2 linked regions of the Notamacropus eugenii genome follow. The protein of the gene in region 2 purifies or fractionates together with the protein of the main gene of each other region. This does not show direct contact. Links are inferred from orthologs where the notes say so. Each region holds a gene or a part of one and is shown on either strand. Other genes may lie near its edges.

The links. Proteins that work in one complex are often made in the same cells at the same time.
Region 1: the proteins of CMTR1 (region 2) and DHX15 purify together in Homo sapiens (co-immunoprecipitation; 3 studies listed by BioGRID and IntAct, with this or other methods). This does not show direct contact. The link is inferred for Notamacropus eugenii from reciprocal best matches to the Homo sapiens genes CMTR1 and DHX15.

The regions. Positions count from the first base shown.
Region 1 is NC_092877.1:77,379,303-77,386,521, forward strand, and holds the start of DHX15 (ATP-dependent RNA helicase DHX15), read right to left. Parts: upstream 3,039-7,219; 5' UTR 2,764-3,038; coding exon 2,693-2,763; intron 1-2,692.
Region 2 is NC_092873.1:95,171,802-95,178,835, forward strand, and holds the start of CMTR1 (cap-specific mRNA (nucleoside-2'-O-)-methyltransferase 1), read left to right. Parts: upstream 1-4,014; 5' UTR 4,015-4,156; intron 4,157-6,774; 5' UTR 6,775-6,779; coding exon 6,780-6,912; intron 6,913-7,034. UniProt on the Homo sapiens protein: S-adenosyl-L-methionine-dependent methyltransferase that mediates mRNA cap1 2'-O-ribose methylation to the 5'-cap structure of mRNAs.

The sequences.
Region 1 (7,219 bases), on a different chromosome or scaffold from region 2:
AAAAACCAACAGAGGAATGACTTCATTGCTTAGTTACACCAACAACCTTCAACTTGGGATGCAGAATATCATTCATTTCACAAGTATTTCTTAAGTACCTATTATGGGCAAGACTATCTGAATGAATTTTAAAATCCATACTATCTCTTCTCCAAGAAGATAACAGGAAAACAATCTGAGCAAATGTGTCGATAGAAATATGACCTCCAAAAATTCTGCCTTCCAAATGGGTGACATTAACTTACCCAAGGTTTCTAGAAAAAGAAAAAAACCTTAAAAACCCAATTATGCTTCTGGCCTCAAAGCCCAAGTTGCAAATATGAGACTTTACTACTTCAGATCTCAAAATACTAAGAGTTAGAAAAGCAATGGGTAAAAATGCAAAAGAAGGTGGTCTAGCTGTGCCAGATCTCAAACTGTATTATAAAGAGGTAATTATCAAAACAATCTGGTACTTGCTAAGAAACAGAAGTATATCTCAAACTATATTTTATAAAGCAGTAATTATCAAAACAATCTGATATTGGCTCTGAAACAGAGTGGTGGGTCAGTGGAATAGATTAGGTACAAATTACATTATAGTAAACAACTATAATCATCTAATATATGATAAATCCAAACATCCAAGCTTTTGGAACAAAAACTCATTTGTCAAAAACTGCTGGGAAAACTGGAAAACAGTTTGGCAGAAACTAGGCATAGACCAACATTTCACACTGTACATCAAGATAAGGTCAAAAGGAGTATGTGATTTACACATAAAAGAAAGGGTGACCTCATAAGCAAATTAAGAGAGTACAGAACAGTTTATCCGTCAGATTTATGGATAGGGGAAGAATTTAGGATCAAAGAAGATATTAGAACACTACAAAATATAAAATAGATCATTTTGATTATATAAAATTCAAGTTTTGTATAAGCCAAACCAAAGAAACCAAAATTAAATAGGAAGCCGACAACTAGGGAAAAATTTTTTGCAGCAAGTATCTCTTACAAAAGTCTCATTTTTCAAATACACAGAGAATTGAGTCAAATCCATAAATGTACAAGTCATTCCCCAACTGATAAATGATCAACGGATATAAACAGCTTTCATATAAAAGAAATCAAGGCTATCTATTGCCATATAAAAATGCTCTAAATCACTACTGATTAGAGAAATGCAAATTAAAACAACTCTGAGGTACCTCTTTACACCTATCAGAGTGGCTAATATGACAAAAAAGAAAATTTTGGGTGTTGGAGGGCATGTGGTAAAACCTAGATACCAATGTTCGGTTGATGGGAGTTGTGAACTGATCCAACCATTAGGGCTACCAAACTGTGAATACCTTAGATCCAGCAATATCACTGCTAGGTCTATATCCCATAGACATCAAAAAAAAAGGGGGGGTGGGGGGTGGAGAAGGGCCCATTTGTACAAAACTATTTATAGCTGCTCTTTTTGTGGTAGCTAAGAGTTGGAAGTCAAAGGGATGCCCACCAATTTAGGAATGGCTAAACAAGCTGTAGTATATAACTTTAATGGAACGTATAAGTAATGACAAACAGGATGATTTCAGAAAAACCCGGAAAGACTTATATAACTGATGCACAAAGAACCGAACAGAACCAGGAGAACGCTGTGCATCGTAACTGTGAATGACTTGACTATTCTCAGCAATAACAGTGATCCAAGACAATCCCAAAGGACTAAGGACGAAGCACAACAGCAGTCTCCGGAGAAAGAGCTAATACTGACTGAACAGAGACTGAAACACGCTCTTCTTCACTTTTTTTCATTTTTTTCCTGTCGTCTTGTTCAGAATGACTTATAAGGAGATGTTTTAAGTAACTGCATACGTATAACCTACATCCGATGGCTTACCGTCTCAGGGTGGAGGAGGGGAGGAAAGTACAGAATTTGGAACTCAAAACGTGAAAGAAAAATGTTTAAAAATGGGACAGAAAAGAAGATAGCAGCGGAAACCACGAGGGGTGCTTCCACGATGACCAGGATCAACCCTTCCAACGAGGACAGGGAAAACCCGAAGCCCGCGGGAGCGCGGCTTAAGAAGCGGAAGTTGTCCTCTTTTAGCATCCACTTTGAAAGACTTTGAATGGATCCGCAAGCCGCGTCTCCGGCTGGGGGCTCGGCCAGCGGACACGGACGGACATACGGACGTACTCACACTCACACCAACACAACTCACCACGCGCGCGCCCTCCCCGGCCCACACCCGGCCCACGCGCCGCTCTCCCTTTCCTGGACTCGGCCTCGGGTCGCCCTGACAGGCCTAACCCTGTCCCCCGCGGCCCTCAGCTCCTTGGTCCTCCGGAAAGACTGCCGGAGGAGGGCGAAGAGGAATTCCCGGGCCTGAGAGAATCGCTCCGGCCACGAGGCTCACCGATCCCACCCCACCCCCTCCCCGGGCAGGCCTTGCTCCCCAGCAGCTCCGAAAGGCCTGGGGAGGGGAGGGGGGGAAACTCGTGCCGGGCCCTTCGGCCTCCCCGGCTAGGGCTGGGCCTGGAGTTGGCGCCGCCACCCGAGAGGGTTCCCGTGAGAGCAAAGCCTCCCCCGGGCCGCCTGCCACGGGCCCGAGATCCGAAAGAAAATACCGGTGATCTCGGGCCCAGCCGAGACCTCGTCTCTGCCCGCCCCAACATCAACAAAGCCCGGCGCCCCCTCCCGCCTCGGGCCGGCCTCGCTTACCCATCGCTCCCCGCACGTTTCTTGCCGGAGGGATAATCTTCCCCTAGGTCTAACCGGTGCCGCTTGGACATGGTCGCGCTGGCACAGCGGCGATGGAAGAAGGAGTTTAAAAAGGGAACGAGAGGAGGGGCAACCGGCGGCAACAGGGACAAGGGCGATCCTTCGTTCCGGGAGCCCCCCCCCCACCTACAACAGCCTCCGCCGTGCGGCCGGGACCAGAAGGCAAAATGGCGGCGGCGGCAAGGACCGGGCCTGCGCGCGCGCCTCCGTCGCGTGCGTGCGTGCCTGGGTGCGCGCGCGCGGCGTCCCGCTCCTCGCCGTTTCTCTCTCGCTCATTCGTCCAGCCGACCGCCGCACAACCCCGTCCCGCCTTTTGCTAGGAAGAGGCGAGGAGGGGGAGGGGCAAGAAATAGCCCGCCCTCTAGGCTTGTCGTGATGGGGCACGTAATGCGAAAAGGCTGCTGGGAAGATTACCTCGGTGTCACCTCCACCCTCAGTGAGGAGGAAAATCTTGGAGAAGTGGCGGGAGGGGGTGGGGGAGAAACCCACGTGTTGTGGAAAGTTGGGTTGAATGAAAGGACGGGGCTGTCCAGGCGCAGAAAGGTGGAGTCCCCCCTCCCAAGCTCACCTTGCCACATTGTTGCCAGCTGAGGAGCGTGGGAAAGGACCCCCTCCCCCTAGGAGCCTAAGTTTCCCCATTAGCTATTGAACCACAGAGCCTCCCCATGGGAAGCGACCTACCTCCCAAACCATCCAGCCAGTGAGTCTATCCGCAGGTACTGGCAGCGCGCTGGGCGATGGGCCAACTCAGACCTGAACTAGAAGACCCCAACTTTGAATGAGGGGACGCTCCCTCCCTCCAGAGGTAACCCGTTCCAAAGGAGGTGAACCAACACTGCTCAAAAGGAAAAGAATTGAAATAGTCAATAAGCATGAACAGAGGCTCTAAATCACTACAGATAAAGGAGAGTCAAGCCCATGCCAAGCAAATGTTTCAAAGTGGACAAAAGATGGAAATAATTAATGTTGGAGTATTGCGGGAAAGTAGGCACACTACTAATCCATAGTGGGTGGAGCTGTGGTTCCTTCTGCAAAGGGACTTAGAATTTTGAAGTAACTAATGTGTCAGTATCCTTTGATCCGAAGATCTGAGAAATATTCCCAGAGGGTCAAAGATAGAAAGTCTCCCTGTGTGTAAAAATGTTTATGTCAACATTTATAACTACTCCAATAAAACAAAATTTGAAACAAAGTAGGCTTCAGCAGGTTGGGAAATAAAGGGTGGTACAATAGAGTATTGCTCTGCTGTGAGAAACAGTTTATATGAAGAATACAGAGAAACATTGGAAGCTTTTAAACAAACTGATGGAAAATGAAATAAGTAGAACTTAGAAAATAAGGTGCACGGATTGAAATAGGTAGGTGGTCTTGAGGATAGTCAGGAAAACATAAATACAGATCTTGTCTCAGACACTAGCTGTGTGGCCCTGGGCAAGTCCTTTGACTTCTCTCAGCCTCAGTTTTCTCATCTATAAAATGGGGATAAGAATAACAAATATTCCACGTAGTTGTGAGCCTCAAATGAGGAAGTATATGTAAAATGTTTTGCAAAAAATTTAGTTATATGTTTGTATATAGTTTTTTTATTATTATAGCAATATAAATGGAAAGAATAGAAAACAATGAAAATGAATGCCATGTTGAGTATAATGACCAAACTTGACTCCCAAAGATGTAATAAGACTGCAGTGGAGAGTTGGTAGACTCTAGGTATGGAATATTAATTACTTAATGATGCCTTTATAAAGTGCTTAATCTGTGGCACTATGGTAAGTGCTAGGGATGCAAAGCAAAAGCAAAAACCTAAAATAGTCTTTATCTCACGGAGCTTATATTCCATATACTGTCAGACTCATTTAATGTGTTGGTTTTGGAGAACTGGTTTTTTTTCTTTTTCCTTTTGTAACAAAGGATGATTTTCTGAGTGGGAGCGAGGAGAGGGATGTATTTGGAATTGAAGATGATCTAAAAATAAGAGCTAATTTTTAAAAAGTAAATCTCTCTTTAAAAGAAGAAAGTTGCTGAAGTGGAGCTTTAGACCTCGCAATGAGGTATAAAATCAATCATGGAACTTCAAAGCACAAATAAAGCCATTATGAACTTTAAAAGAAAAAACTTAAGACAATAACCCAGTTTTATGCCTCTAGGCTATTTTTGAGCAAAAGTTTAGGAGAAAGACTGTGATAATCCTAGTGTGTCCCATCAGATTGGTCCCAGATTTGAACTATTTTCTGCTCTGAAAAACATCAAAATAAAGTGGAAAAGAGCACTTTCATCTAGCTCATCCATAAGAATTGTAGGAGAGACTCTATGAAATGCTCTACAGAAATATAAATTATATCAGTATTTTCCTGATCTGCCAGTCTAGTAATCATGTCAAAAAAAGTTAGTCTGGTATGACCTGTTCTTGATGAAGCCATGCTGGTTGTTCTCTTTTCTTGAATTCTGTCTCAAATGAATTACTAGGTGTGTTCTTCCTATATTTTAGCTCCTATCTGTGTTATCTAGCATGGTAGACATACACTCACTGTTTTCTCCCACTCTCTTTACTTTAAAGTGTTTTAGAAAGAATATTACTAGTATAATACTGTCTACCCTGGCCTGAAGTCCAGAGTTGTACAATACCCTTAAATGGTGTAGGGTATTTAGGCTCCAGCCCCACCAATGGTGTTTCTTCCAGGGAGTGATTCTTTACATCCCAGTTCTGTTTAGCTACATATCTATTACATTTGCCTTTATAAGGGAATATTTGTTTCAAAGGTATAATAACAAATATACAGGCATATTCTCCAACAGGCAGAAAATAATTCCCCAACTCCCATTTTTCACTACCTCATATTCTGGGGTGAGGAGGAAGATTAGATTCATAGCTTAGCTCAGTTCCTATAAAGCACGGTCCAGTTCCAAGTCCAAACATACTTCAGTCTGAAGTCCCAGCCACCCTGACTTCTCCAATTTTCTGTACCAGCCTGGCCAACTGCAACATCTCACCTGGACTCCTGGCTCCAAGGTAACTATGGCTTGAGCACTCGCACTAATGGGGATCACCACTGGCACCTGAAACTAAGAAAGACAAATGATGCAGAACAAGGACCTCAGACCTGTTTCTGGGAGGCAGGGTAAGAGTATATCCTCTTCCCAGTTAAGTTCATTGTGCCCAGCCCTTTGGTGACTTGGACCCTCTGGACACAGCAGGAAACAGTGAGCTTGTAAAGAGAGACTCTCAGTCTGGCTAGTTTTAAAGATGTAGCCTTTTCTGGTCACATAACCAATAAAAGGAGGCTACATCCACTTACATGGTAGGAAAACACCGGAGGCAGAGTATGCTTCCATGTTAGGTAATCATAGTATGACCAGGGTAAGCCCTTTACACTAGCAATTTTGGGACCCAAGCAAGCTTCACAAAATGTGCTTTAAATTACCTTTTTTAAAAACCAATTCTGCTGGGAGATAGAGAAAGACTTCAGGGAAAAGACTGTGATGGTAGATACCCTGAAGGCTGAAAATTCCACCTTGGGGACTGTTGGGTTGGGAATGAGGGTGGGAATGAGAGCAGAAAGCTGGTCACTTGATGGTTTCCTATTTTAATTTCTTTCATGCTAGATAGGTATTAAACTCAGTTGTTTCTATGCTGCTGAGTGAATATAAATGCTGTCAGGTCCTTCTAAATTTATGGTTTGATCATTCTTATTTGCAACTCTCCTGGAAGCAAAAACTAGATGATCACCTGTCAGGTCTGCTGAATAGGGGACCCCTGTTCGTGTATGCTTTTAGATTAGATAACTTCTGAGGTATCTGCCAAGTCTGGGATTCTACGATTTCTTGAACAAACTTTCTTTTGTTTCTATCAATTACTAGAGCTAGATGGAAAGTTGAAACAGCACTAAGGAAAACAAGGTTGGAAAAAGCAGTGATGCTTTGTAGTCCAAGAATGCATAGATATTCAAATTGGAGGTAATACAATTTTGAGAGCATTGAGGGATTAATTCTCAAGATACCTGAAAGAGGGGAGAATTTCCCAACGGGGGAGGAGAAATGATTACCAAGAATAGGTAACTAAGAAAAATATCAACAATTGCTGATCTAGAGGCCTCCTTTCCCACCTCCACAAAATCTTTCTGAGCATAATTCGCACTTACCTCAAGGAGATCTCCTTGATGAGGTGATGAGTAGTGAGCTGGCAGACCATCTTTGTACAATTGCTTAGTTGATTGAAAGACCCTGCTTTTAGTCAAGATCCTACTGGGTTTATTGTTTATTAACTATTAAGAAAGGAAAACATGATTCTATAGAGTAAAATGTTTTAAAGGCTTTCCTCCAACAGGATTTGTATCCCCTGTATCTGTCAAATTCACATAAAATTCCATGAAAAAATGTAACAAAAGAGATAACTTTGTTTCTAAACCCTGTAATCATTAATATCCAACAAGACATAAAATAAGAAGACATATACTTGGCAAATGTTTT
Region 2 (7,034 bases):
ATGTAATTAGGAAAAAATAAAATATTATTTTTTAAAAAGCATGAGATCGAGACTACACAAATCTTCATTTCCGTTCTCAAAGTCCCCAGCTCTGCGCTTGTCTTCAGAGCAGCCTTGTAGACCAATACCACAATGGCCATGCCAGTGGTGGCCCCATCCAGCCCAAAGTAATCACAAGTTTTTAAAATTGGAAGAGACCTCAGTGGTCATCTTTTCCACTCTATGCACAAAAAAGAACTCCCAGTATGATATATGTGACAAGTCATCAACCAGTTTCTTTTTTAATAGCTTCAATGAGGAGGAACTCACTATTAGCTAGGTTATCCCCTTCTACTTTTGGATGGTTCTAATTGCTTTGATTCACTTTTTTAAAATCAGTGATTTGGAACAATTCTTATCCACTGGGGAATGGCTCTTGTTCTTAAATATTATCTATATATCTAAGAAATCAGACTTTTATCAGAGATATACATCTTTTTTTCTCTCTCAGTCTGTAGCTTCTCTTCTTATCCTGGTTGCATTGATCTTTTTCATGCAGAAAATTTCAATTTCATATAATATAAATGATCTATTTTATTTTTTATGACTACCTCTATCTTCCATTAAGAATGCCACCCTTCCCCTCTATCACCATTCATCATGCATCCAATCTAGCAGTGACTTTCCCCGGGGGAGATACTCCTTACATTATGACACAGGGAACAGTACTTTAGAGCTAGATGGAGCAGTGGAAAGATTCCCCTGTCCTGGAGGCAGAAAGGTAAGAGTTCAAATCTGTGCTCAGATACCTAGTAGTTGTGTGACATTAGGCAAGTCACAACTTTTGTTTGTCTGTTTCCTCAACTATAAAATGGGGATAGCAGTAGTACCTACTTCCCAGGATTGTGGTAAGGATCAAATGAGATAATATTTATAAAATGTTTGAAGATATTTTGCATTCTTAGTACAGTGCCTGGTCCATAGCAGAAGCTATATAAATGTTATTAATATTACTGTTGGGGTGCGTGCGTGTGTGTGTGTGTGTGTGTGTGTGTGTGTGTGTGTATGTGTATGTGTGTGCCATGGATCCCTTTGGCAGTTTGGTAAAACCTATAGACTCCTTAGAATAATGTTTTTAAAGGTATAAAATACAATATGTAGAATTACAGAGTAAAGCAATTATATTAAAATAGTTATAAAAGTATTTGAAAAAAAAAAAGCTTACAGACCCCAGGGTTAAGAACCCCTGGTCTACATTAATTTCTATGGAGCAGAACACCATAAAAATTGATTTATTGCCTTGACATAAAAATCATCTAGCAGCCAAGAAAGGAAAACATTTTAATCAGATTTAGGTAATATTCACAAGTATAAATGTACCCTTGGCTTCTGTGACTCAGAGCCATTATAGTGCATTCAGTGACAGAGGGAGAATGATGGATGTAGATTGTTGAGATGATGGAGAGAGACCTTTTCATGTTTCTTGTATTCTTCCTGGTTTCCTTTCTCCTATGAATGCAGGGATTCTTAACCTTTTTTGTGTGTGCCATAGACCCTATTGACAGTCTGGTAAAGCCTATGGATCCCTTGTCTGAATAATGTTTCAAAATATATAAAATAAAATATGTAGATTACAAAGGAAATAGATCATACTGAAATACAGTTATCAAAATATAAAAGCAACATGGACCCCGTGGCTAAGAACCCTTGTATTAGTAGAATAAAATTTTTTATTGTTTACTATCAAATATAAGGTTATCAGAAGTAGACATTATGCTGTACAGCCTGTTAAACTCTATAACACAGGTGTAATTTCCAAATTTCTAGTAACTAATGACTTTCTACACTTATTTTAAAAGTCAGTCTATATTCTGAAACTGCAAAAGGAGAGACTGCAGATGATGAACTACCATACCAGTTTTCCTGAGTTGCTGTTAGATTACTACTGGGGGAAATAGTTTGTTAATTATTAATATTGTTTGAACACAGCTTTATATGGTTAGAAAATTGCCTAGCCTGAAATCATGGGGCATGCTGACCTCAGAGACTCTCCAGGGAACCCAGGTCATGGCTTCCCTAATAGCTTGTGTTTTGGCTTCACCCAAATTATATTGCTTACTCACCTTGTGACCCTGGGCAAGTCACTTAACCCTGTTTGTCTCATTATCCTCATCTGTAAAATAAGCTAGAGAGGGAAATGGTAAGCTGCTTCAGTACCTTTGTCAAAAAACAAGCAAAACAAAACAACAAAAAACCCCCAAAGATCAAAAGGTGTCACAAAGAGTTGGACACTATTGAAAATGACTAAACAACAACCATAAAATTATATTGAATGTTTACATTTACCTGCTGATATGCATCTCAAGTAACCTTACCCTTTTCTGGAAAGTGACTGTTTCCATGCTAGCTACCCAGCTGCTTGTCCTTATGCCCTAGTTTGAACTCTATGTATTCTAAGACTTAATTTGAATTCTCTGTATTGTGAAGACTTAACAATTAACAATTTCAAGAGCGGAGTCACGCCTTTTTCTGGCTCTCTCTCCTTTGCCAAATGACTTAATAAAAATTCTTTCTAAATTTTTTTCAAGTCTTGTAGTATGTTCTTGACCTGACAGTACCTGGTTACATCTGTGCTTTGTGAGACTTATGGGACAATATACATAAAAGCACTTTGAAAAGTGTTAAGTTTGTGAAAGAAAAATTCAGTACTCTTGTGTTTTTGGCAGATCTCTCAGAAACAAAAGAGATTATTAATTAAATTCAAAGTACCTTTGCTTAGTGAATGAGAAACCTATAGGGATAGAGATCCATCATGCTTTTGAAAATATGACCCAACTTTTCGCTTTCAATTCATTGTGTTCAAGAACAAAGACAGAATTCTTTTGTCATGAATTAACAAGGGTACCAAGTTTAGGTAACAAGTTTTTGATGCATCAAACAGAAAAACAGTAACTTACTTTTCCCCTAAACCATTCAATCTGGTCAAGGGTTGAGAGCAAAGAGGTACTGCTTATAGTTGAATTATTCATTATGACTCTAATTTCATTAGATGGGAAGCTCCTTGAGGACAGGGATTGTCTTTTACCTCTTTTGTAGCCCCAGCACTTAGCACTATGTCAGGCACCTACTAGGTACTTAATGAAGAAATGTTTGTTGTGTCAGATCCAATTAACTCTTCATGACCCCATTTGAGATTTTCTTGGCAAAGATACTGGAGTGGTTCCTCATTCCCTTGTCCAACTCATTTTTCAGTTGAGGAAACTGAGGCAAATAGGATTAAGTGACTTGCCCAGGGTCACACAGCTAGTAAGTGTCTCAGGTCACATTTGAACTCGGGAAGATGAATCTTCCTGACTCCAGGCGTTGGCTGAATATCCACTACACCACCTATTGTTTAACTGATTGATATCAGGGAGGAGTCCTTCCTGAGCTGATCAAGCACCTCCATGTAGCAGTTGGTTAGGGCTTGCTTGATAGGAATGAATCCAATAGATTTCAGCGCAGGACATGTTTCCTTACAACTGATTAAGACTGGGAAAGTTGTCCGTTCAGATGAGACCCTAAGTGCACCTGTTTACAGCAGTTCTTTCTTGGGGATGACAAAGGATTGGAAACAAAGTAGCAGTCCATGGACAGGGGAATGGCTACATTAAATTGCAGCACATGAGTGTCATGGGGGAAGAGGAAATCTTATTTCACCCGATCCTCAAAACCACCAAACAAGTTTTATTATGATAAATGATCCCCACTTGACAGCTGAGGAAACTGAGGCAGACAGCAGTTAACTGGGTTAACCTCATAGCATCTGACTCTAAACTCGAACTCAGAGCTCCCCAGTTCCAGACCTGGCACTCTACCATTGCGCCGCCTAGCGGCCTCGCGAAGAGACAGAGGTGGGTGGGGTGTTTTAGATGAGGGTCCACTGGCACGTATCGAAACCTTGAATCTGTTACATGACGGGAGGGGCCCATCAAGGCCCCGATGACGTCATCGCTCCGCGCCGCGGCCAGGCGGGGCGCGTGACGTCACCCCGCGACGGGGGCGGCTTTTGTGAGGAAACGAAACTGGGGCCGGGCGACGGCGACGGCGGCGGCTGCGGCGGCGGCGGCGCGATCTGGCGGCCTGACGCCCCCTCCCCCTCGCTCCCCTCCCCGTCAGCTCGCCCCCACCCCGCAGCGTGAGTGCCGGAGCGCGGGCGCGGCCAGGGCGGGAGGGAATCGGGGCGGGCTTGGCTTCGCCTTCCGGCTCACCGCGGCCCGACTGAGAGGCCCGGCTCCGCGACCCGCCTCCGCCGGCCCGGGCCCGGCGCCCCAGGCCCTCTGCTTTCCTTTCTGGTTCCGGTCCTCCTCCCCCTCGCGGGCCTCCCCCCCGCGGCGCTGCTCGGCCCTGGTGGGCTCCCTCCCCCTCCTGTCAGTGCCCCCCTGTGCCCTCCCCTCCCCCGCCCCTTGCCCTCCCGTGCCCTCCGGGCCTGTTCCCCGTGTTTGTCCTTAGGTATTAGCGCGGCAGCCCCTGCCTTCCCCCTCAGCTGGCCTTCCCACCTTTGGAGATGGGCACATTCCTCTGGGCGTGGGGGGAGGGGCTGGGGCTAGGGTCCGAGTGGAAGCCTGGGGTCTTCCGTAGGGCCTGAGGTTGAACAGTGCGGGTGAGGCAGCTGGACTTAGCCGCGCCCTTCCCCGCGGTTCTCCTGCACTTCGTTTTTCCTTTCGCTGCCTGAGCCTCAGGGCCCTGTCCAGCCCTGGCCTTCTGGAATGTCAGGATCCCTTCTGTTGACCAGCACCTCTGCCCCGGCTTAGACAGGCAGCGGCTCTGCCTCCTCTCCTCCTGTACACCTGGAGCCCTCAGAGTTGGGGGAGAGGAGTTTCATCTCGTTAACCCCTTAAACCTGACATCCTCCGGGGGTGCATCGCCAGGATTGTCCCCAATCACTGCACCCCTCCTGAAGCTCCATCCTTCAGAACTTAGGGTGACTCCTGGGGCTCCCGTATCGACACTTCTTAGTTCCTGTTTGCTCCCCCTTTTCCCCCATGGAAGTGAGAAAACAGCTGTCATAGCCAGAAGGGAATGAGACTGTAACTGGCCAATCTTTTTTTTTTTTTACAAAGGAAAAGAAAAATCTGGAAAAATTATTTTAGTGCTGGTTATCTGTGAGCACCAGTAAATTGAATTAAATATATACTGCAGAATACAACTGCTTCCCTAGCAGCCAAATGCTTTATCATGACGTGATGAAGGCCTTAAGCCTTCCAAGGCCATGCCAGCAGAGTCCAAACTCTAGCCGTAACAAGCTAAAAAGGTTCCAAGAATGGGTCCAGAGGCAGACTCTGTGTCTGCTGCTTAGAGACCAGTCTAGCTAAGCGGAGAGACAAAATGCTAGAAGGCTAACCATTGTGTGTATGTGTGGGTGTGTGTATATATATAATATATATATAGTGAAGATATCCAGTAAGGCTTGTGTAGGGGTGGTTTGTGATCTGCATCAGCAGAAGGGTGACCCACACAAATGAAATTTTGGATCCTTGAAGTACAGAGCATAATTCAGGGATAAGGCTAACCACGCGATGTTTATTGAAAGCCAACACTAGCATACATGGGTGAGAGCTGAGCTAGGGAGTCACACACGGTTTTCTCAGTACATTTTTGGTCACTAGGTAAGCCACACAGTATTACTATGAGGTAGCATCTAACTGGCTAATCTTACAGGTAAAGAGACAAGACAGTAAGGTAAATTGATCCAGGGCTCTGGGAAGTGTCATTGGGGAAAGTGACAGCTGCTCTTTGGCCTGCTCACCTATTTACTGCTGTCACTGCTTCCAAATGTAATAGATGTTGTGACCAACACCCAAATCCCCACTTGGTCCCTGCCCTTTGTTGTTGCCAAGTCTGAAACTTTCTTGGCTTTATGTCTGCTGCTTCACTTTCCTTTTTTCCATCTGTCTGAGCTGTGTAGAAGGCTTTCTAGAATCTGTGGACCGCAATTTGTTAAACTCAGTATCTTCTTCAATAAAGATGATTGTTCTGTTAGGATATTTAGATGTCATTGCCCCCTGTTCCTCTCTGATATTTTTTTCCTTTAGTATCTAGCTCTAAATAAATAATAGTGGCTTGATGTGTGCTTATTTCCATTTTCCTAGCCATTTGTGTACCATGGCTGTGTGCCAACCTCATGTCCAGAGTACTTGCTTTCTATACCATGGGCATTAAACCAACCAACTAGTGGATAGAATGCTGCTCTGATTGTTAGAAAAGTTTCCTAATTCCTCTGTATGCTTAAGCTCATGTTGAAACAAGCCAAAAATCAGTTGTCAGTAAAAATAAAAGTGATTACCCAATTGTTTTTCAGAGCCCTTGCTGTTAGTAGTTATAAATTTGTCTTTGTCATCACCCATCCCAACAGATTGAATCCTAGTGTGTCATTCAGTAGAATGGAAAAATATGAACTGTCCATGTGAATAGTGACCACTAAGAGATGGAGAATTAATGTGTAATTTTTTGGGTCAAGAACTTGGAATTGACGTGACAGTCACCTCTGGGTCTGTGTTGCATTTTTACAAATACACATAAAATTAATTACTAATGAGAACTGGATCCTGGTTGCCATCATCTGAGATTCATTCCAAAAGAAGGTCATTGGAGTGTTGGCTCTGGAAGATGATAAAAATTGTCAAATTCTATCCCTTAGGTGGTTTATGTGTTTGTACCCTCAGACTTTATCATCTCCTGTTAATGTGGCTTTGAACCAGAGGGAGGCAACTGCCTTTTTCCTTTTTATTTTCTTTTTTTGGTTTGTGGTTGCAGTGACAATGAAGAGAAGAGGAGAAGGAGAGTTCAGCAGCCCCCAGAAGAAGCAGAAGAAAAGAGCGGCTGAGCTGGGTTTGACCCTCAGTTCTACTTCTGATGAGGAACCCCCTTCTTTTGGCAGTCATGGCCCACAAGGTAAGGCTGCCAACATAATGTGAAACCTGGCCATCGGGAATGCTGTTGACTGAGCACTGGAAAATTTACGGCCTGTGATCCCTTTTGGAAAACTGAACCAGTTCAGAGAGAGAAGGACTTAA